Styela clava: one gene and its partner. The protein of the gene in region 1 binds, or shares a complex with, the protein of each later gene. Links are inferred from orthologs where the notes say so. Each region holds a gene or a part of one and is shown on either strand. Other genes may lie near its edges.

Evidence for each region.
Region 2: histone-binding protein RBBP4 (region 1) and inorganic pyrophosphatase-like share a complex: the UniProt entries of both Drosophila melanogaster proteins name them as parts of the NURF complex. The link is inferred for Styela clava from reciprocal best matches to the Drosophila melanogaster genes Caf1-55 and Nurf-38.

The regions. Positions count from the first base shown.
Region 1 is NC_135252.1:3,757,378-3,768,891, reverse strand, and holds histone-binding protein RBBP4, read left to right. Parts: upstream 1-6,803; 5' UTR 6,804-6,918; coding exon 6,919-8,016; intron 8,017-8,884; coding exon 8,885-9,064; 3' UTR 9,065-9,460; downstream 9,461-11,514. Other genes in the region: uncharacterized protein LOC144420818, read right to left, coding at 923-1,352. UniProt on the Drosophila melanogaster protein: Core histone-binding subunit that may target chromatin assembly factors, chromatin remodeling factors and histone deacetylases to their histone substrates in a manner that is regulated by nucleosomal DNA.
Region 2 is NC_135256.1:11,801,719-11,811,826, forward strand, and holds inorganic pyrophosphatase-like, read left to right. Parts: upstream 1-6,984; 5' UTR 6,985-7,178; coding exon 7,179-8,129; 3' UTR 8,130-8,434; downstream 8,435-10,108. Other genes in the region: uncharacterized protein LOC120327500, read right to left, coding at 9,094-9,540, 9,825-9,880, 9,979-10,032. UniProt on the Drosophila melanogaster protein: Component of NURF (nucleosome remodeling factor), a complex which catalyzes ATP-dependent nucleosome sliding and facilitates transcription of chromatin.

The DNA.
Region 1 (11,514 bases):
ACAAACACGACACATATTGCGGAACCGGCACGAAATAGCTAAATGTCCAGGTTCGAGACAGTTAAAACACAGGCGTGAATCTAGTAGAAATCTTCTTTTCGTGTCATTGGCACTAAACCCGAAGCTATCGCAGTTACTCAAAGAATGAAAACCATTGCAATAGAAACATTGCATTCGCGGTTGGTCGAGCGGCTGATTTGAATGACCCGATAAAGGGTATACCACATTCTTCTTAGGAAATGACTGTCTGCGATCGTCACGATCTATTTTAGTTCTGAAAAGATTTGGTGAAAAAGGATTTCCTAATTCCTCGCATCGTTCCCACAACCACTGCTCGAAGTCCAGTAAACTCGGCATTTCGTCGGCACGAATCATATCAGTCACAAACTTATTCCAACTCGAGGTCAGTTCGGTCGGAATTCGCATTGCTGTCTTTCTAACATTTTCAATACTATACAAATCTGCAAGCAATCGCATTTTCTTCAAATTTATCACAATGTCGCGAACTTCAGAATGAAAATCAGATATTTTCCGGATACTGAATTCTGTTACTCGTCTACCATCTACAACCTTCTCGATAAAGACCCGAGCAATCGTCACCCGTTGGCCGAATATATGTTTCAATTCACTCAACGCGACAATAAATTACTTCCCACCGTCCCTAAGCCATCGACATGTCGTTTAGCCACCCCCGTCAAAGACGCGACTAAGCGAACCATACGCGAACCGTCGTCGTCAAGAGAACTGTGTACATTATCAAAAAATAACTCAATAAAGTTTGGCCATTCTAGGGTCGTTCCGCTAAAACTAGGAATCGTAATCGGTGATAAATGGTACTGGGACAATATTCTAGAATTCAACTGTAATGATAACATAGTTTGTTCCTCTACTGACATATTAAAAGAATTAACAGAAAATTTACCAGACTGGTTAGGTTCCAAGTGGTCAATCCACGCGTCGACTGCTTCTTGTGGTATAAGCATTCTGTTTGCAGGAGACGGGCGTTTGTAAGTTCGTGCTGTCGGGAAGTGCAATTCTTTGGTCTTTTCTGAATTTGTTGTCACTTGACTCTTCGTCGGAACAAAAAAGTTCGCTGCACTTCGTCTGCGTGTTGACTCTAACGGATATTCAATATTGACGCCACGTAAGTTATCTTTAGGCATCTTTTTGGTAGCCAATTCAGTCTTTTCTTGTTCAATTTCACGCATAAGTTCGTCAGCTTGGCGACGTGTTAGATCTGCCATTCGTTCTTTTTCGTTTATGTCTCGACGTTTGTGATCAAGGCGACGCTCTAGTGCTGATATTTTATTGCGAATGGTATCTTCTTCTGTGAGAAAGTCTCGTTTAGCCATACGTACAAGAGAATCGGCTCTTTCTACCTCTCGTTCTTGCTCAAGTTGCAATCGCTTCAGTGATTCAACACTGCATTTGCTTGTATTGGATTCGGCAGACCAATGATCAGAAACGATCTCCTCGTCAAGGTAAGAATAAAATTTCTGCTTTCAATTTGATCGATTTTCGATAACATCATTTGCATTCCAGTTTCATATTTCTTCAAAACATTTGGATTACGGGTAGTCGGAATGAGTTTATCCATCACTTGGTCATAAGCAATTCGTTTAACATGAAGTTTAATTTTAAGATCAGTAACGATAGGATTTTGAGCATTTTCAGTAATCGATTTTGAAAATCTGTCGCACAAACCATTTAGTTCATTTTGTAGTCTTTCGTGGCATAATACATTGCGTCCAATAGTTTCAGAGTTACCGTCGTCTGTTTCCGCGAGAGGAACTGCAGGCGAAGAAGAAGCTTCTCGTCTATTCAAATCTTGTGTAATTGATTCATCTGCTTCGTTCATCGTCGTCGCAGGGAGATTTGTTCAACTTTGTCACTTTTGGGACCCGGAAATGATAAGTCGATTTGCCAGACTCGTTTTATTGAAAGTATTCAAAACGGTTGACTAAAATACAAATGAAATAATTAGCACCAAATAAATCAAAGACAAATGATACAGAATATAAAACTAATACTTACACAAAACAACTCCATATAATAGCATAGTCCCAAAACGACAGATATACAACCAAGGTAAAACAGTAACTATAAATGCAATACAATACGAGCTGTAGACATGCAAATATCATAATGTTATATCGAACGATTCGAAATACAGTATAAAAGGAGACTACTGAATGAATTCAAACTTCAACGCTATAAAGGCGATGTAATCTTAAACTGCCATAACAAGAAATGAAATCCTAAACTGCTACCACCAGAAATGCAATCTTAAACATCTTGCTGAGCTTAGGGGACGATAATAAAATAAATACGTAAAACGATAACACGTGAAAGAGAAAAATGCGACACGTCGAATACGAGAAAACAACACAGTAATGATGACGACGACGAGTTAGCGATAATCATCACGATGACGATGTACAACTGAAGGGATCCTAACTAAACTAAACTTTAGGACCACACGGACTGCCGACACAACCTGCTTCCGACCGCGATTGACTGAAATTTTCAAAATAGCTCGCGATCGACTGATCGGTTGTAATGTCATAAACAAAAATGAACGAGAATATCGGTCAGAGACCGAAGACTTATCGATCGAAAGTTAGGGGATCCCAAAACAGCGCTCTTACTCCATAGTGACACCTTGTGTCCCATTACTAATTAATTAATGACTTGCTAATTATACGGCATAATTTGTCCAAAATCAATGGGCTTCTGGTCCGAGATAAAATGAATGCACATGCAAAATCTGGACCAGATTCAATCTCGCTTCCGTGAGATATCGCGTGCATCTAACAGACATACAGACAGACAAATACCTATCAACATACTTACCGATTAAAATCGACAAGTAATGAATACGAATACGCAGATAACCGCACACACGCATACAAAAATTCCACTACTGCCAATAAGCTCGGCTCCGCGGGCGCATTCTCAATGAAATTGCCACAAAAGTAGGCATTTTTCATATTCCATTCAATTTGTTAATTTTTTGATTATGTAATTGTACCCGGAGTAGAATTTTTATCATTTATTTCAGATTTATTGAAATCATACACTTCAGATCTAGGGCCTGTCTAATTTTCAGTTGTAAGTGTTTTCAATTTCTCCAAAAACCTTGAATGAAAGTGTCCATGTACTATCTAAACAGCGAATAATGAACAATCTCAAACCATAAATGTTCCATGACTGCTCAAACTTCTCTATCTAATTTACAATATTCTTCAAGTCCGATTCTTTGCTCGCTTGGAATTTTGGCAAATTTACTCAACATCAAACGCGATCGACCGGTCTATCGCGATCGGCGTGTTGGCCACCCTTGCAATATATATATATATAGACATATAGTACAACAAAATATTTTTCCCATTCGCATTTTCATGATTTTGCAAATATTAATTTCATGCGCTGACAGAAATAAAAGACTAAAAACGATAAAGACTCGTTACAATTGACCCACAAAATCTTGTTTTAATCATATTTAATGCCGATACACATAATATTTACGAATACGGGATTTAATAAAACTGATTTGTAATAAGTGTGCCGCGACTTTTTAATGTTGTTGTTAGTGTGCCGCAAGCTGAAAAGGTTTGGGAACCCCTGATCTAGTGCATGCTTTTCTTCTTGAGGAATAGAATTACATTTTCTTGGACTTACATTTTCCATTGGTTGTTTTCTAGTCTCTTGTGCCCAATACATTCGATAACGCGGTAATTCCAGAATGCCCATCATGGATGTCCAACTACTCCCAAATATTGTTCGAATTCGTTGTGGTTTGTAGCATCGGAAAATTCTACTTTCTGTACCGAATACAAATTGGTCAGTTCTGCAATGTGATCAATTAAATTATTATTATCAAAAAACTGCTGAAAATATTGTAAACACGTCGATGTCTTTTCTGGCTGAGGAGGTAAAGGTGGCCTTTTGAAGTTACACGCAACTTGTAGTGTAGATCTTGCTCTCCATCGCATTTGAATGTCAGTCATAGATGTTTGATGACGACTTGTTTCTTGATGTTCTACATCTATCTATCTGCTTCTGAACTCAAGGTCATATTTGTCTTAGATGCTGACTGTGTGGAAAATACTTCCCTAGACTCTGACGCTATATATGTGCTAGTTATTGGTGGCATCATTCTGAGCATCTAATATATTCATCATCTGTATTTCTGTCTGAAGCCAGCGATACTTGTTCTGACGAATATAACACACACGAATCATGCCCTGATTTCTGGACTATGTCTTCAACTTCCTTCTCCCTTTCAATTTCTGAATCACTGAACTGAGTGTTTACCATACAGACAACACGGTCATGTATGGCTCCATGAGTTTCAGTAAATCTATTTTTTTTTGTAGGTATAGATATAGACGTAGGTATGGATATACTGTAGATAGATAATTACAGAGGAACCTCATCACCATTTTATTACTCCTCAACATTTTTATTACTCATATGTTTCATTTCTATGTATTATAAATTATCATACTAAACTTGTACTGCAAACATGGCAAAATTCCTAACTGCAGCTAACAACTTTGTGTCCCACTACAAGAACGCTCAAAAATCATAATATTTAATTACATAAGCCCGTCTTGGGCAAATTTATTCAGGGTAATCAATTGAAAAGTGAAACAGTAGGCCCTTCGACGTACCAGCATATATTATTTCTTTCACAAACAAACACGCATTTTTGACAGATCAAGATTTCTTTATTTTTGTCTGATAGGGCTGAATGTTTTATATTAACTTTGGCGAACAGGACCTTAATTCACGAATATATGCCAAAAAGATAGAAGTTGGGATAGAGCAATCTTAATGGGTGGGGACTAGGGGTGCTGCTTTTCATTATTCATGTCCCAGTTGTTTTTCAACCTACGCTTCGCGTGCTATAAAGGTGCGGTGATTCTGAACCACCGCAAATTAGGGCCGAGTTGTCACCTTTTTACAAACCACCTCCAAAATAAAGTACTAAGATAATTTCTCTGGGGTCAAGGGTTGAGGAAACATCCTCCATTCCTGCTTCGCGCTGTTTTTATTTCATTTTTGCCTTGCCTTAAGCATCTGTCCTGATAGGATTTAGGATGTACGGTACGTATTTATCCCGGGCTGCCGGGGAAGAGGAAAGTCAGTAAGACGGCTTAGGCTTAATCAGAGACGAATAGAATGTTCGTTGTATTTAACCAGATGTTGAGACATCTGAGAACTGCAGTGCACCGCTGATATTGTCATCAAACCCTACAAACTGATAAATTAACCATCTAAGTTACCGGTATATTTTTTTGACATTCCCAGAGCCAGAGGTATTACTTATGCGGATAGGCTATGCTTGTTATGAATCGAATTTTACAGAATTGTAGTAATTTTTTTCATGACTTTTATTTGTTTTCAAGTAGGCTATTTGTTCAAGGCTTTTGCATGCCACACAAAAATCTTCTTTGAGCCGCAGTTTGCCCACCCTGATATAGACTAACGGTAAATAGATAAAATCAAGTAACATCTCTAAACCAAAGCTGCGCTGCCACTGTTAGGGCTGTAGGGGGATTTTTTCAGATACCGGTAGTGATTTATCAGATTTCGGGTTTCTTTGCATTAAGTACATCCGTTGATCCACATATCCTTTATCATGTCATATTACTGTATCATCTAGTCTATAGACTACTTACATATTGCAGTACTGAAATAGCACTGTCAGTTTGGTGTTGAAAGTTGAATATTCTATAATCAATATAATATATATAACCCCAATTTTGAATTTTTCTTATAGAAGCACAGATAAAAGGGGTGGAATATTTTATTTACAAGTTACATATTTTCGCAGTTTACGTAAGTGTTTTAGGTATCTAGACTATATATAACGAATGTACGCATACTTTATTTTAGTATTTGTTGCTAATAGCAAGACTAAATTCCTAATTTATTACTTATCGATTTTAATCGGTAAGTATGTTGATAGATATTTGTCTGTCTGTTAGATTCACGCGATATCTCACGAAAGTGAGATTGGATCTGCTGCAGATTTTGCATGTGCATTCATCATATTTCGGACCAGAAGCCTATTGATTTTGGGCGAATTATGTCGTATAATTAGCGAATTATTAATTAATTAGTGATTGGACACAAGGTGTCACTATGGAGCAAGAGCGCTGTTTTGGGGATCCCCTAACTTTCAATCGATAAGTCTTTGGTCTCTGACCGATATTCTCGTTTTGTTATTGCTTAATATGATCTATTTGGATACCTGAAATTGGATGATGCTACAAATCTCTTATCAAACATTCTCAAATGATAATGATGTGACACTGCCATTCTTTGAATTCCTTGGATATCGTGAGCTTCGTTACAATTTAACTACTTTAAAAACATAATTTGAGATACTTTCAGCTTTGTCAGTTGTTGTTATTCACTCAAAGTCATTTTGAATAGTCTATATAATTTTGATGTTTTACTCGACTCGCTGAAATATCAGTAATTTTCAAAGTTTCAAATGCTGATGCAATATTAGTGTTAAATAATCATAGTGTGGTCCTTTACATCTCTATACCGCATATTATAGTTCTTCTTGCACTGTCTTATCATAATCAAATATGGAGCAGGCGAGTTGCCAATGGCGAGTTAGCGCTGTGACAAGTTGCCCTCCACCCTCCCAAAGCTGTATTCTTTGATGAATTGAATTGATCTTGTAAGGAGATAATATTCACTTATTCGGAATAAAATTAGTAGAATTGCTTATTTTTTCAAATTATTGATAAGGACAAAATTCTAGCTCTTGAATTTACTCACGCCAGAATAAAAATCCTATTATGTATGCACAAAAGGTTATACATTACAATAGTTTCTGGTTTACTATAGAGCATTGATCAAATTAGACATTTTAACTCAAAATCGAAGGCTGTTATGGCTGAAAAAGAAACATTTGATGAGGCAGTGGAAGAAAGAGTTATCAATGAAGAATATAAGATATGGAAAAAGAACACACCATTTTTGTATGATCTGGTAATGACACATGCATTAGAATGGCCAAGTCTCACAGTTCAATGGCTTCCTGATGTAGCAAAAGCAGATGGGAAAGACTATGCTGTTCATAAGCTCATTTTGGGGACACATACCTCAGATGAACAAAATCACATGATCATTGCGAGCGTTCAGCTTCCCACAGATGATGCTACATTTGATGCATCTCATTATGATAGTGAAAGAGGGGAATTTGGTGGTTTTGGTTCAGTTAGTGGGAAAATTGAGATAGAAACAAAAATTAACCACGAAGGAGAGGTCAATAGAGCTCGTTACATGCCTCAGAGGCCGTGTATCATCGGCACAAAGACACCAAGTAGCGATGTCCTAGTCTTCGATATCACCAAACATCCACCTAAACCAGATCCATGTGGAGTTTGCAAACCTGATATTCGTTTAAAAGGTCATCAGAAAGAGGGCTATGGCTTATCTTGGAATCCAAATGTAACTGGTCACTTGTTGAGTGCTTCAGATGATCACACTATATGTCTGTGGGACGTGGGTCACAAATTAAAAGAAAATCGTGAGCTCGATGCTAAATCAGTATTTACTGGTCACACTGCTGTAGTAGAAGATGTGTCTTGGCACCTCCTTCATGAAAGTCTATTCGGATCGGTAGCAGATGATCAGAAATTACTTATTTGGGATACAAGGGCACAAAGTACCAATAAACCAAGTCATATCGTTGAGGCTCACACTGCCGAAGTGAATTGTTTATCATTCAACCCCTTCAGTGAATTTATTCTTGCCACTGGTTCAGCTGATAAAACTGTTGCATTGTGGGATTTGAGAAATCTTAAGCTCAAGCTTCATTCATTTGAATCACACAAGGATGAAATATTCCAAGTTCAATGGTCACCACATAATGAAACTATCCTGGCATCAAGTGGAACTGATCGCAGACTCAATGTCTGGGATCTAAGTAAGATTGGCGAAGAACAGTCCGCAGAAGACGCGGAGGATGGTCCTCCAGAACTACTGGTATGTACTTTTTTATCACTCTGTTAATTTTTTTTGTTCAGTAGTTGATCACATCAGTTTAACCAAGAATAAATTATACAATAAAAGTGCCATAGCTAGATATGTAGTATCTGCTCCTGTGCAAAGTGGAATTGAATTTTGGAATGCATTGTACAATATTTTGAGCTGTAGTAATATATTTGCTCAATATTTCTTATTTAAAAATATCCAAATATTGTTAAATATACTAAAAGTATATATGATAGGTAGAACAAAATTATGAGATGTTTCCAGTGTGACAGTGTTCCAAAAAACAGAACCCAGATCTTTTGGAACATACTTTTGCCCAAAGCATCCCAGATCACTGAAACTTTTGGGTACAATTATACACAAACAGAAGTTGAAGTGTTAAATAAGTTTTCTTCATTTTCATAGTAATTAAGAAATTTATGAGCTCTGTTATTTTTTGGATCACCCTGTATGTAAATAAAAGGTGGGCTTTGTTTACCTACAGTTTAATGAGGCCAAAATAATATGCCCAAATTAATTTGCCTGTTTATTATTATCATTTCCATCCATATACAAATATTTCAGGTAAAAATTTCATTTAAAGTATAAGCTATGACTTTTGCCAATTGATTTCTGTGTGTCATGCAAATTGCTCATTTTTACTAATTATTTATGCCAGGCGATTGTCAGCCGTCTGTTACTGCTCAGAGAAATATAATATAGTTTTGTATCTACTTTCAATCACATAAGTAATTGGTCACTGAAGTATAGCAGTAATGTCACAGAAAATGCTTGGAATGCATTTTTATTTTTAATTTCATGTTGTTATTTGCTGAATTTTTTCAAAAAATTAATTAGAAATTACCGTATGTTTTGTCAGTTCATTCATGGTGGCCACACAGCCAAGATCTCCGATTTTTCCTGGAACTCAAAAGAACCATGGGTAATATGTTCTGTGTCAGAGGATAACATCATGCAGGTGTGGCAGATGGCTGAAAACATATACAACGATGAAGAACAAGAACCTGGATGCTCCGATTTAGAGCAGACAGCGGGTTGATTCAGCCGAATGTGTACTTTGCAGATGGCTCCAGAACTCGTAATGCATCAAAGGCAAATATAGTGATAATAGCCTTCCATGCTTCTTCAACCAAATCAACAATGGCACTCCAATAGGCAAGGAAGCCAATTTTCAACAGAATGATTTGCTTGCTTGCTGTATGTATTCAGAGCAATACTCATCACTCGTGATAGCCCAATGCTGCTTATCAAACTAAAGTAATGAAACAACCCATGCAAAACAATGTTTCCGCATTTAACATTTGATGCCTGCTTATTTCAGCCAATTTCTGTGTAGACAATAACATGCTTATCCAGTGATTGTGTCTGTAATGTTAGATTTTTGCCAAATAACAACTGTATTTTGTTCTCAAATACATGTTTCTAAACACATAAAGCATTTACTGTTAAGTTAAATAGTTTTGAATCTCAGTGGTCTGGATTATATCTGCAGGATTGTTAGGCTACTCATGCCAGCCTTTTCTCCACCAACCAAAATTCAGTCTCGATGTAGAGCAATATAATGTGAAAAAAAAACGCGTGAAATTATTTTTGACAAGGAAAAAATTATAAGCCCTGCTGTTTATTTTGACGATGACTTCACACTTGTAGCTCTATTAGACACGGAGAAACTCAACGCCAATGAATAACATTGTTGTGCAATATATGAAGGTCTGCAGTTTTATGAATTTTTAACTCTCCACCGCCGCGAAATACTTTAAATGTTGTTTTACTGACGATCATGGCGATAAAATGCAATAAATTGGAACGACGACTGTGCGAATCCATTCTTCGGAATAACGACTTCCCAGTTATAAATAACCCTTTTTGGGCAAATTAAAATCCATTGTCAATTTGGACTTATGAACTTGATTATTTTTGGTATATTCAAATAAAGATATATATATTACGTCGATATGGTTAAATAAACCAAATCCAAATTTCCTGTAAATTTAGATATTTGTTATAATACGACGGAATACAATATTTTATAAACAAATGTAAAAGCTACAGATCCACAAGCAGTCGTTATTTATAACTATGCAAGTTGGCCATTGTTTTCGTTAACGTTTAAAAATGCTGAACCGTTATTCGGAGCCATTATCGCACTATCGATTCTCTGCCTTTTACTAGCCCTGATCGAAGATAAATTGTACGATCACTCGGATCGACGTCATCAAGAATATCTGACTACCACCAGCGGTGGCTCGACAGCCCTGCCCACTCTCTTCTTGACTTTGTGGAGGCGAAGCGCTATGGTACTTGTACATTGTTCCAATTGTCCCGTCGAATGGTCTTGGTGATTGTGACGGGTTCCTATCTCGGCCTGACTCTGCCATATTTTGTGTGTTGCTGTCTGGCAAGTTACTTTCCGTTTGTTATATTTTGAACGCTGATCTTCATTTTGTTTCGCTAGCACTGGGCAATAATGATGCCTATTTTTGATCAATAATTGCTAGATGTGTTGAGTGAATTTCCCGGATTTATTGCACATGCTATGTGGACGTCTGGCGTGGTTTGCAGCCAGAACAACTTTTTATATTTATCCTCCAGCATTATTTGCTGGGTCATTCATCCACAACTTAGTTATCTACTCTTTCTAATTTTGACAAACAGCGAAAGTAAAAAATTGAAATGCGTAAAATTTCGAATGGGGTTCAGTGCACAAGTAATTGGACTCAAAAAATATAAATACTATTGAAGAAAAGACCCGTTCAAGAAATATAAATACTATTGAATACATATTTTATTAAAGGTTGTCATTAATGAACCTACCACAATATATTTGCCAAAATAACATATGTACACACAGTATTAAAGACAGCGGGAGCATTGTTATGCAAGGTAATTAGAAGCTTCTATTAGTCATTAGTGGGATTACAAACATTCGATATATTCTCTTAATTTACATTATATATCGTGATTATGCAGATCTTGTTGAATTGCAGGAATATTGAATAAAAAACAAAATGATTGGTTTCCGATACTTTACCGGATAACCCTATACAAATCAGCAAATTGGGAACCGTAGCAGAGTTACCAAGATAATAACGAGAATATCGGTCGGAGACTGAAGGCTTATCGATCGAAACTGCGGTTTCGATTAGTTCTGTATTTTAAGTTTCCAAAATATTGATCAAGTAGTAGATTGCTTTTGACCTTTTTTTCGAAGATAATTCGCGGTTTATTATCTTCCATAATATCGGAGCGTATTCCTCATTTTTTAATGTGCCAATTTCAGAAAAATTATCGATAAGATCGACAAAGTGGCCGTCCTTGTCGTTTTTCACTTTCTCAGATATTTCAATCACAGATTTTTGAACTGCAGACACAGCGGAAAAAACACTGGCATCAAGATTTTGTGACATCAATTCCATCACTATGGACAATCTGCGAACACAAACTTCGTCATATTGTTTGCTCAACTTTTTCAGCGCCTCATCAAAAAAC
Region 2 (10,108 bases), on another chromosome or scaffold:
TAAAATCTAAAAATTCAACTTCTTATCTGAGTTAAAAATTGTGACTCATCCGTTCGGTTTTTACCTTTCTAAAAATATTTGCGCCCACCGAGACTTGCAACCCAATTTAGATAATGTAATGAGTCAAAACTTCTCAAATTTTTCCATTGGGTTTGTTTGAAATCGGTCACTCACCTACAATAAACTTCTGCAAATCAGAAAGAATTTGCTGACTTTTGTTTTCGTTGTAGTTATTTGTGGACTCATTTTCCTCTTCGTTTTCCTGTATAGAACATTTCACGTTCAGTTTCTTTATTCCGCGATAATGGAATAATTGTGATTGTTGCATGTTTCCATAAAAATATATTAAAAGTTATGATCTAAATGATAATTTCAATAATAAATTTGAATTCAGGCTAGTTTACACATGTATCACTGACTGACCTGTTCAGCAATTTTACTGTTGTCCCATCGTATTTTTTTTTACCGTTACCCAGCTACTTCTTCTTCTTGGTCGGCCACTGTAGTAACTATAGCATAAATGAAAAACTTTCTAAATAATATATATCAAATAGGTACAAAAAAGTTGAACGCGAATAAGCGCTAATTTCAATTTAATGTAAAATATAAATCTGATATAATATGTTTGGAATCACTGAGCGTTTTAAGGTCGCACACTGAAAACAGACATGCGCTGTATCGACGATAGCAGTTCGGTGGGCTATGCAATATTTTGTGGGGTTCGACAGACATATAGATCAAAGTTTCGTGATGCAATTTTCATCTGGACATGTTTTATATTACACGCAATGTTAAACTAGCACACCTTATTCAATTATTCTTTCATAAATTACCTCTGTTGCTGTGGTTGGTAGTGGCCTTCTTCATTTCCATGTCTCTCTTTTACTGGATTATGTTGCCTTCTACCTGTCAACTTCATCCCCCATTTTTTCATCCGCCTGAACCAAGCATCTGTTTCATTAAATACAAGTACAGCCAAGAGAACAATTACTAACATGGATTTTACACCCATGACTATTACACACTAATAAATATAAATTGTGTTTTTTGCTTTTTATTTCAAATCATTAGCTATCAATTGTAAATATTGAAAATTCGATATATTGGGCACATTTACTGCAAGAGTGTGGGGAATCAATGTCATAAGGGAAGGTGGGGCACGTTGGGACATGAGGCACAATGGAAAATCAGCTCTCACACACTAATACTATATTCGGAATACGGTCCGCGGTTTGATGTTTCAATCCGCCCTTCGATGAGTTACAACGTCCCCGCAAACGGACAGCGGACGGGTAGAGCGACGCAAGCTATGAGGTAAAATTGGTTTTGGGAGGTCGAAACTGAAATTTAACCGTTCCAGTTTTTTCTTTTTTCTAACTTAGCCTTTTCAACGTGACAAACCACCGTCTGATATCTTTCAGCTATAGTCCACTGTGAAATATTTATAACGTTGGCGAGTGGATGTGCCTTCCGAATTTCTCCGTGGGATGATCTGAAGATATTTGTTTATTATGGGGAACAATGGACCGGGGTTCAGTGGGACATACCCTACATGGCACAATTCGACAGTGTTTGATACAACAAGTGCTTAGAGACCTAGAGATGCGTTATATTTCTATGTAACATTATGGTATCTTTCGACTCATGGTCCAATATGAAATATATTCGAGAATCAAAAATATTTCCAGATTTAGATTCGGATTAGAAAATAATTTAAGTTGTATGCGAATTTTTTGGTGAAATTTCTGAAATATTCTGGTTGAACATTGATTTTAAAAATCTTAAATCTTCAAATTTGAGGTCTTCCTGTTCTTTAGACGATTATGCTGATTAATTGCTTATTTTTAGGGCATACTTTGTTGAATTTTGACAGAATGACCCATTGTGCCCCAGGGTCTGTCCGAATGTGCCCCACAAGTCGGGTACAGTGGGACACTTGACAAACGTTTTTCAAAGCATTTTGGTGGTAAGATGTGTGTCGCAAGGGAATTTCTTAGTCGCTGAATAAAAACTACATTTACCCCTCTCTGCATCAATCCCGCAAAGGTATATGAATGTGCAGAATAAAGGGCTCCAAATATGCAAACGAAAAAAAGTGTCCCAACCTTCCCCACTTTCCCCTACATTAGATTTATGCTTCATTTCACATTTTAGACGACGCAACTAACCACTTGTTTGAAGATGAAGAGCAATTAGCACAACATACTATAGCGAATAAAACAACTTAGAATGGCATCATGATTTTATTTTTATTTTATTGAATTTGTTTTAATCAGAATATATATATACAGTAAAGTATTCATTTGATCTAAGTGAAATTCAATATACCGTGTTCTCATTTTCAAGTCGAATCTGCAAACTGTACAGTTAGTTGCCTGTCATTCTAATCGGTATGATCCACAATATAATATCGACTTTCAAGTTTAGGTTGAGTATCCCTTAACAAGTAGATGAATATCCCGTTAGGTCATGCCCAGGTCGAAATCCTGCGAGATTGAGGTATTTAGATCATTTTGGAACCTAAGCAAAAACATGCGCTACAGTCGGAGGTTGGCACTCTTGACTTTCCAAATAAGAAATGAAGCTATCCACTACCTAATAGGCATCTGAAACTTGAAAGCTTCAAGTATAATACTCTATTGACATTGACAACTTCAGCCAATCCCGGATTCCAGCACATGATCTAAAAAAAAAATTCTGATGCTTATTCTATGTATAAAATGGTTAGGTAGGCCTTAGAATGTTATCGAGTTACGCAAACCCAATAACGTATACGAACATAATATAAACTGTCATTGATAAAAAAGGCGAAAATGAAAAATTTGTTCATCACATACAGACTATTGAAACTGTACGCTGGACTACTCAGTAAGAAGAAAATTAATACACGTCTGCACTTGCTTTTCAAAAAATCAAATTAGGGCAGGGTAAAATACAATTTGCAGAATTTAGACTAGTTTATGTCTGTCAGTTGAACTGCAATGTAGTAGCACAAATTGATAGAAGTTTAATGAACACTTTTCTGATGTGGCAACAAGTTTCACAACCATGACAAATCCACCTCTCATATCTCAGAAAACATTCCACCATGTTTTTAGTCGACAGCTTAGAACGGATTTTCATATCAGGTCGAAAGAAAGGGTAATGAGAAGACTTTATCTGATAAAGGCCTACGTTTCCCCATCTGGTTACCAGTCCATGTCGAACATAAGCAGTGGTGTGTCAAACTTTCGCGCTACTCGGGGCGAGATTCTGATAATGCTGCCCCTTAAAAGTTATACCTCGGGTTACCATATTTTTTGGACTTCAAAGCGGGACGCCTCCAAAGACACGACCTCTTAGCTGTGATCCTGTAACTTTACAGTTTCCGATTTTACTACATAGGCCTACATTTTAAGGCCATCCCGGCTGTCTTCATTGACCATATTGTCATCGAGAATTCATGCGCATATTCTATATCGGATTCAGTTCGAAAAATAGAAAGGATTAGACGCTAACGATACAAATGATCCGAATTTAGATTTTTCTATGTACAGCAAAAGGAATAAAGCATAATGAAATAGTCTGCCGTTTTCAAGCATTGGGAATTTACTTATTCACTAAGCATGCTTTTCTGTAGATAACACTTTCTCAAGAAGACGTTGCTCAATGTTATATTCACGTGAACGTTCGAACAGGACCAATTGGAATTGATTTTACATGTGATACGTTCGCTAACATAACGGAACAAATAAAATAACGCATTCACCTTCAGTAAGTAGACTAGCGTTGCGCTACACGGCAACAACAGTAACGAGAACATGTTCGTGTATTATGCTGGATGGCAGAACGCAAAAGCGGGACTTTTGGTTGACTTGTCGGGACGGCGGGACAAGACGCTAAAAAGCGGGACTGTCGCGCCTAAAGCGGGACGTATGGTAAGCCTAGTTATACCTAACTTCAAAAATAATTATTATAGATGTTGTTATACACGAGAATAAATATATAAGTTAAAGGCCAAGTGAGAGAAAAATGCTTGTAATAGTATCATTTAAATGCCAAGTGAGAGAAAAATGCTTGTAATAGTATCATTTAAATCAGGGGTGTGCAAAGTGCGGCCCGCGAGGGAAAATTGTGCGGCCCGCGGAGTAATGCCAATTTTGAATGGTGTGCGGCCAGCTAAACTAGTTTTTATATTAGTTTGATATGGTGTCCTTTGCGTTGCAAAGCCTATATTCGAGTCCAATTTATTATCTATGCCTATGACGTTACAACGTCCAAACAGCGAAGCAGACAACGCGATGCAGCGAACAATTTAAAGGAAAATGCGGAGAAGACCCTAATGAATTTGTATGAACGGGCAATTGAAGATTAGGCAAATGGAAAGCAGTTTGAAAAAATTTAATATTAAGAGATACAAAAGCAAAATGAGTTTTGTTTCCAGTTTATCAGTTGATTTTGTTCAAATCTAAAACTAGAATAAGATTTAACAGCAAATTATTTGGAAATGAATCTTGGCGTATTTTACCGAAAACATCTCAACCAAGATAACTTTGCAAATTTGAAAAAAGTCATGGCTTCAAATATGGCACTTTTCGGCTACATATTTTATTCTAAAATGGGCGTCATATCGAATTGCCCGCACTTCCATTAAAGCAAATTTGGATAAAACTAGTCCGGAAAAGAATCCAGCAGCAAATTTCTCACTGAATTCGTCAACATTGGGTGTGACAATATATTTGAATTACAGTTTTAAGAAATTTATGCGTTTCAACCTATCATTTCTGTATGGACCCTAATGATGACGACATGAGATCAATAACAAAAAAGACACTATTTTGTGCCTGCAACTAATAGAAAGCATATGTTAAATGAAGGTGCGGCCCGCGGGTTTACCCAGTTATTGATATTTGGCCCGCCTGTAAAAAAGATTCCCCACCCCTGATTTAAATCATCAAACTGAGCAACAAACTCACTCCTATAACGTGCTGCTCGGGTCGGTTTCCCCTTTGCCCCCTCCCGACACGCCACTGACCATAAGACTTTTAACCAGTTACTTTTTCAGGACGCATGTACTTTTATATAGTGGATGTCAAATAACCATCCAGAAATCCTCTTGTATAATATTTCCATTAGATGTATTCGTTTTTGCAAACTCAAGGTTAATTTGACAAACTGTAGAACTTATGTCAGGAGTAGTTAGCCGACCCATAAGTATTGGCAAGCGTCTTGTAATATCTGCAGATTACAATTTTACATTGCAATAAACGTTACATTGCATAACCGTTTTCAATATTGATAACTACAAAAACGAAATAGGCTGGATGTAAGAAACACGTTACGTGCGTCCATGTCGACCATATCTCGAATATGTGAACAATTAATGGCCATCAAACAAATAAAGATATCTCATTAAATAGCATCGCGTCGTTTTTAGTACATTGTCAACCTAAATTCACTAATGCGTATAATGTATTGCATAGGCTTAGTTCGTTTGTATAAAGGTGGTCCGCCAAATGTTTGGTCATGCTTTACCGGTCCGTCACTTGAAAAAGGTTGCCGACCACTGTGTTGAAGGAACACACGGATAATATTCAGTATATGCTTGTACAGAAATCAGTTTATAGCATATAATTTCGAATAAATACTTTTCATATCTCAAAAGTTGCTTGTTCGGGCCTATTTCAGAGAGAAGTTTTGAATAAACACCATCATGCTTTTGTACCGTAGAGTAGTGTTCCGCAACCGGTGTGCCGCGAGACGATGCCAGGTGTGCCGCACAGGAATTGCAACTTTTCTCTTCTTTTTCAATTTATTTTTATCTTTTGTTAATTTTACGTCAGTCTACTTCTCTACTAAAATGAACTTGCTTTTACGTTAGCTTGAGCGACACCAAATCAAATTCCTGACTTCCCCACTATACATTTGTGACGTAACGAGGAGTACCCCTATATGTCAAGTAGATTGCAATCATTGTCGAGGGTAAAACATAGCGCGTGTAGTAATCGAATATAAATAAACCTGAAATGTGAGTTTGCAGAATCATTGCCCATAGTGGTCTTTGATTAAAAAAGTCAAGGAACGTTAAAGTTTAGCAAAATGGATAAATTTTTAAAAAGAACATCCAAAACATCTGATACTGAGCAACATATTGTACCTAGCACAAGCAACGTTATAAAAAAAACTTATCAAAAGGAAATACAGGGAAGATTACATAAACTATGGATTTTCTTGCTGTGGTAACGGAGATGCTCCAAATTCAGTCTGCGTTATTTGTGGGGAGCAACTTTCAAATTAGGCAATGGCTCCGAGTAAACTGATGCGCCACTTAAATACAAATCACGGTTTCGTGTGAAATTTGGCGAAAAAGCACTCAAATCTAATGGAGCAAAGATATGACAAGTACTGGTACTTTTTCGCAATTACCAATGAGCGATACGACTGGATCCGAAATCCTTTATCAACTAGTGCTGAAATGTCAACAAAAGAATTACCCCTGCGTATTCGAGAAAATTTCTTTGAAGTAAGAAATGACAGAACGTTAAGACTCAAATTCAGTGAAATTCCACTCGATGTGTTTTGGATTTCAATAAAAAGAAGACTATAAGCGCACATTTCCAATGCAGCTATTGAAGTATTGCTCCATTTTTGCATAACTTATATGTGCGAACAAAGCTTTTCCTTTTTATTACTGATCAAAAACGATGAACGATCCTACATAAATGATGTTGACGGCGAACTTCGAGTTGCTCTTTCACGTATTGATCCTAATATAGAGCGATTGTGCTCTATATACAACCACAAATTTCTCATTGAAATATGAACATACAAAGTTACACTTTTTTTTTTGTTTGTTGTGGTGTGCCGTCGAATTTGGTAAGTTTTATAAGTGTGCCGCAAGGTAAAAAAGGTTGCGGAGCACTGGCGTAGAGCGACAGACGACACTGATGTACAATAGATGTTTAGTTTGAGCTCTGCACGGACTTTGCTCGAGTAACTGGTACATCAAGTTTGATTGAGTCATTCACACCGTTTGCGGCGCCGGCCACGTTTTCGTTGCGGCCGCGTCTCTAAATCGCGGAATTGTCTTTGATTGTTTAGTGGAGGGCGGGGTGATCACTTTTTGTTTGTCAAGGCATAAGTTACGGTAAATCTGCGTAGCAGGCTTTTTATAATAATATACGACTGTACACCGGTCTATGTTGTCTTTCGTGCATAGAGGATTTTGCCGAGTAATTTCGAATAATTCACCCAATATATCAAGAATCATGTCTTATGTCGCTGAAGAAAGAGGGCGTCCAAACACGCTTGATTATAGAATATACTATAAAAACAGCGAGGGGCAATACATCTCCCCTTTGCATGACATTCCATGGCTGGTTTCGGAAAGCCCACGAGTGTACAATATGGTCTGTGAGGTTCCAAGATGGACGAACAGCAAGATGGAAATTGCAACAAAAGAGAGTCTAAATCCAATTAAACAAGATGTGAAAAAGGGGAAACTCCGATATGTTGCTAATTGCTTTCCACACAGAGGATATATTTGGAATTATGGAGCAATTCCACAGACTTGGGAAAACCCAGGACACAAAGACAAGAATACAGGTCAGTGTGGTGACAATGACCCAATTGATGTTTGTGAAATTGGATCAAAAATCTGCAAGCGTGGTGAAGTTATTCAAGTAAAGGTTGTTGGTGTTCTTGCCATGATTGATGAAGGAGAAACTGACTGGAAAGTGATAGGAATCAACGTTAACGATGAAGACGCTCCAAAAATAAATTCAATTGGAGATGTTGAGAAGATGAAACCTGGATACTTGGATGCCACTCGTGAATGGTTTAAAATTTACAAGATACCAGATGGAAAACCAGCGAACTGTTTTGCATTTAATGGAGATTATAAAGACCGTGAATTCGCTGAAGAAACAATTGCTGAAACTCATAGGTTCTGGGTTGAAAGTCATTCCGGAACCTTGAAATGTGATTTTGCAATGGAAAACATTTGCTGCAGTGACAGCAAATTCAAAATTGATGGTAAAGCCGCAACTAAAATCCTAGAAGCTGCACCGGCACTTGACGAAGCAGAAGAGGTTACTGATGAAAAAGCTGAGAAGTGGTACTACACCAGTTTGCTTCAAGGTCAACTTTAATTAGCCAAAGAAATTTACTTTCTGCGTGGAACTGCTGCTACTATCTATGATTAAGCAATTTATGGAAGTTGTAGAACAAGGCCAGGTGCACGCTAAATAATTCAATATCTACGCAATGCACTTTTTACCTTTTGTTCAATTCATGAAAAACGAAGTCTGGTAAATACAGATATCTCGCTTTGGTGATTGTCATATTATTTGTTAAAATCGAAAGTTCATCTTTATATTTTTGATTTCTGTATGTCGGATTCTTGTAGACAAATTGGAACATGTGTTTCTGTTTTGAATAAAAGTAATTAAAGCAATCCAAGAGTTTGCTATTCCTTGATAAGCTATCGGAACTCGACCACCTTTGGACGACTGCTTGACTTACACAGGCTTGTGCAACCCTAACCCATTCTTTATAGTTAAATTTTTTTTAACTTGCTCGAACATGTTTCATGACATTCCTGTCAGGGTGTGTAAAAACACCTGATTGGAATGCACCCAGTCAAGACAAAAACCCTGGTCTAATAGTTGGGTCTTTACGTGATGATTTCCCAATAGTATAAAAGCCTCGGGTGTTTGCAAAAAGATGTATAGTATTAGGTGCCCACATCAGAGTGAATACTATTCGATACACTTTCACTGCTTCGATCCATAACACGCGATTCTATTACATTTCATCCCTTTTGCCACTGCTTTGATGGACCTTACAAGCCTCGGGTGTTTGCAAAAAGATGTATAGTATTAGGTGCCCACATCAGAGTGAATACTATTCGATACACTTTCACTGCTTCGATCCATAACACGCGATTCTATTACATTTCATCCCTTTTGCCACTGCTTTGATGGACCTTACTTACTATGCTATCACAATATTGTATAGATGCCATTGCCCTAAAGGACAGTGTATTGGCGCTTTATCTACACTCATAAATACATTTTTCATGAACAAACACACCCTTTATATTATTAACTTAGTTTAGTCCAATGCTATAGACTTCATTTTATGAATGTCAATGTAGTTTATTTTCCCTTTTGCTGGATCTTCTTCAAATCCCAAGCCTTTTGCTGCATTGCCCTCTTTTCTTTTTTGTAAATTAAATGAAAGTGTCTGGTTATATTGGGTCTCAAGGTTATTAGCAAGTTTTTTAGATTCATTTTCATCTGGGGCCATTGTCGAAAATGTTTTGTTATTGTTTTGTAATGTACCCCAAAGTTTCCTTCCTTGTGGTGGTTTCCAAACTCCAGTTAATTTACTGAGCAAGCTTTGACAATTTGTTTGAGTTAATGAGGTTTCTGCTGAATCTTTGGATTTAGCACAACCAAGTAATCTGGCAAATTTATCCTGCTGAGCAGATGATGCTAGTTTGGCCGTCTTCCATTGTCCAAGCTTATCAGTATCTAGATGTTCTTCACCTGTGACAATCTGCAGAGACATGACAATATTTTTACATTTGATATTATTAGGTCTGAAAACTAAAGGTTCTCATCTTTTATCAGGGAGAAGGTGGTATAATATGGGGATAAGATAATTATAAGTGGTATTGCAGTTTCCAAGTGCAAGCCAATAACATAGAATTGGTCGTCATTTTCATTATTTTGATTTGTCACAGCAGCTTTCTTAATGAATATTGATACACAATTTTCTCTGATATTTGCAAAGATATATCTGTAAGATAGAAGGTCAAGAAAAGCTAATGTGATACATACTTGGTGCTGACCATCTTTTTTCGGTTTGTCAAGAACATCATTTCCAGAAATATGACCTAAAATAATGAAGTATTTTATTGTATACCAACGTTAAAAATGCCTAACACTATATGTTCGTTAGGCAAATACTTGAAAAAAAACTTAGTCAATTTACCATATTTTGATTTCTTCTTCTTATGATTCACATCATTTTCAACAGAAGATGAATCTATTTTAAAATAGTTTTATCAAACTTATTCTCCTGAAAATTATTTAGTTAAAAAATGATAATGACTGGATATTTT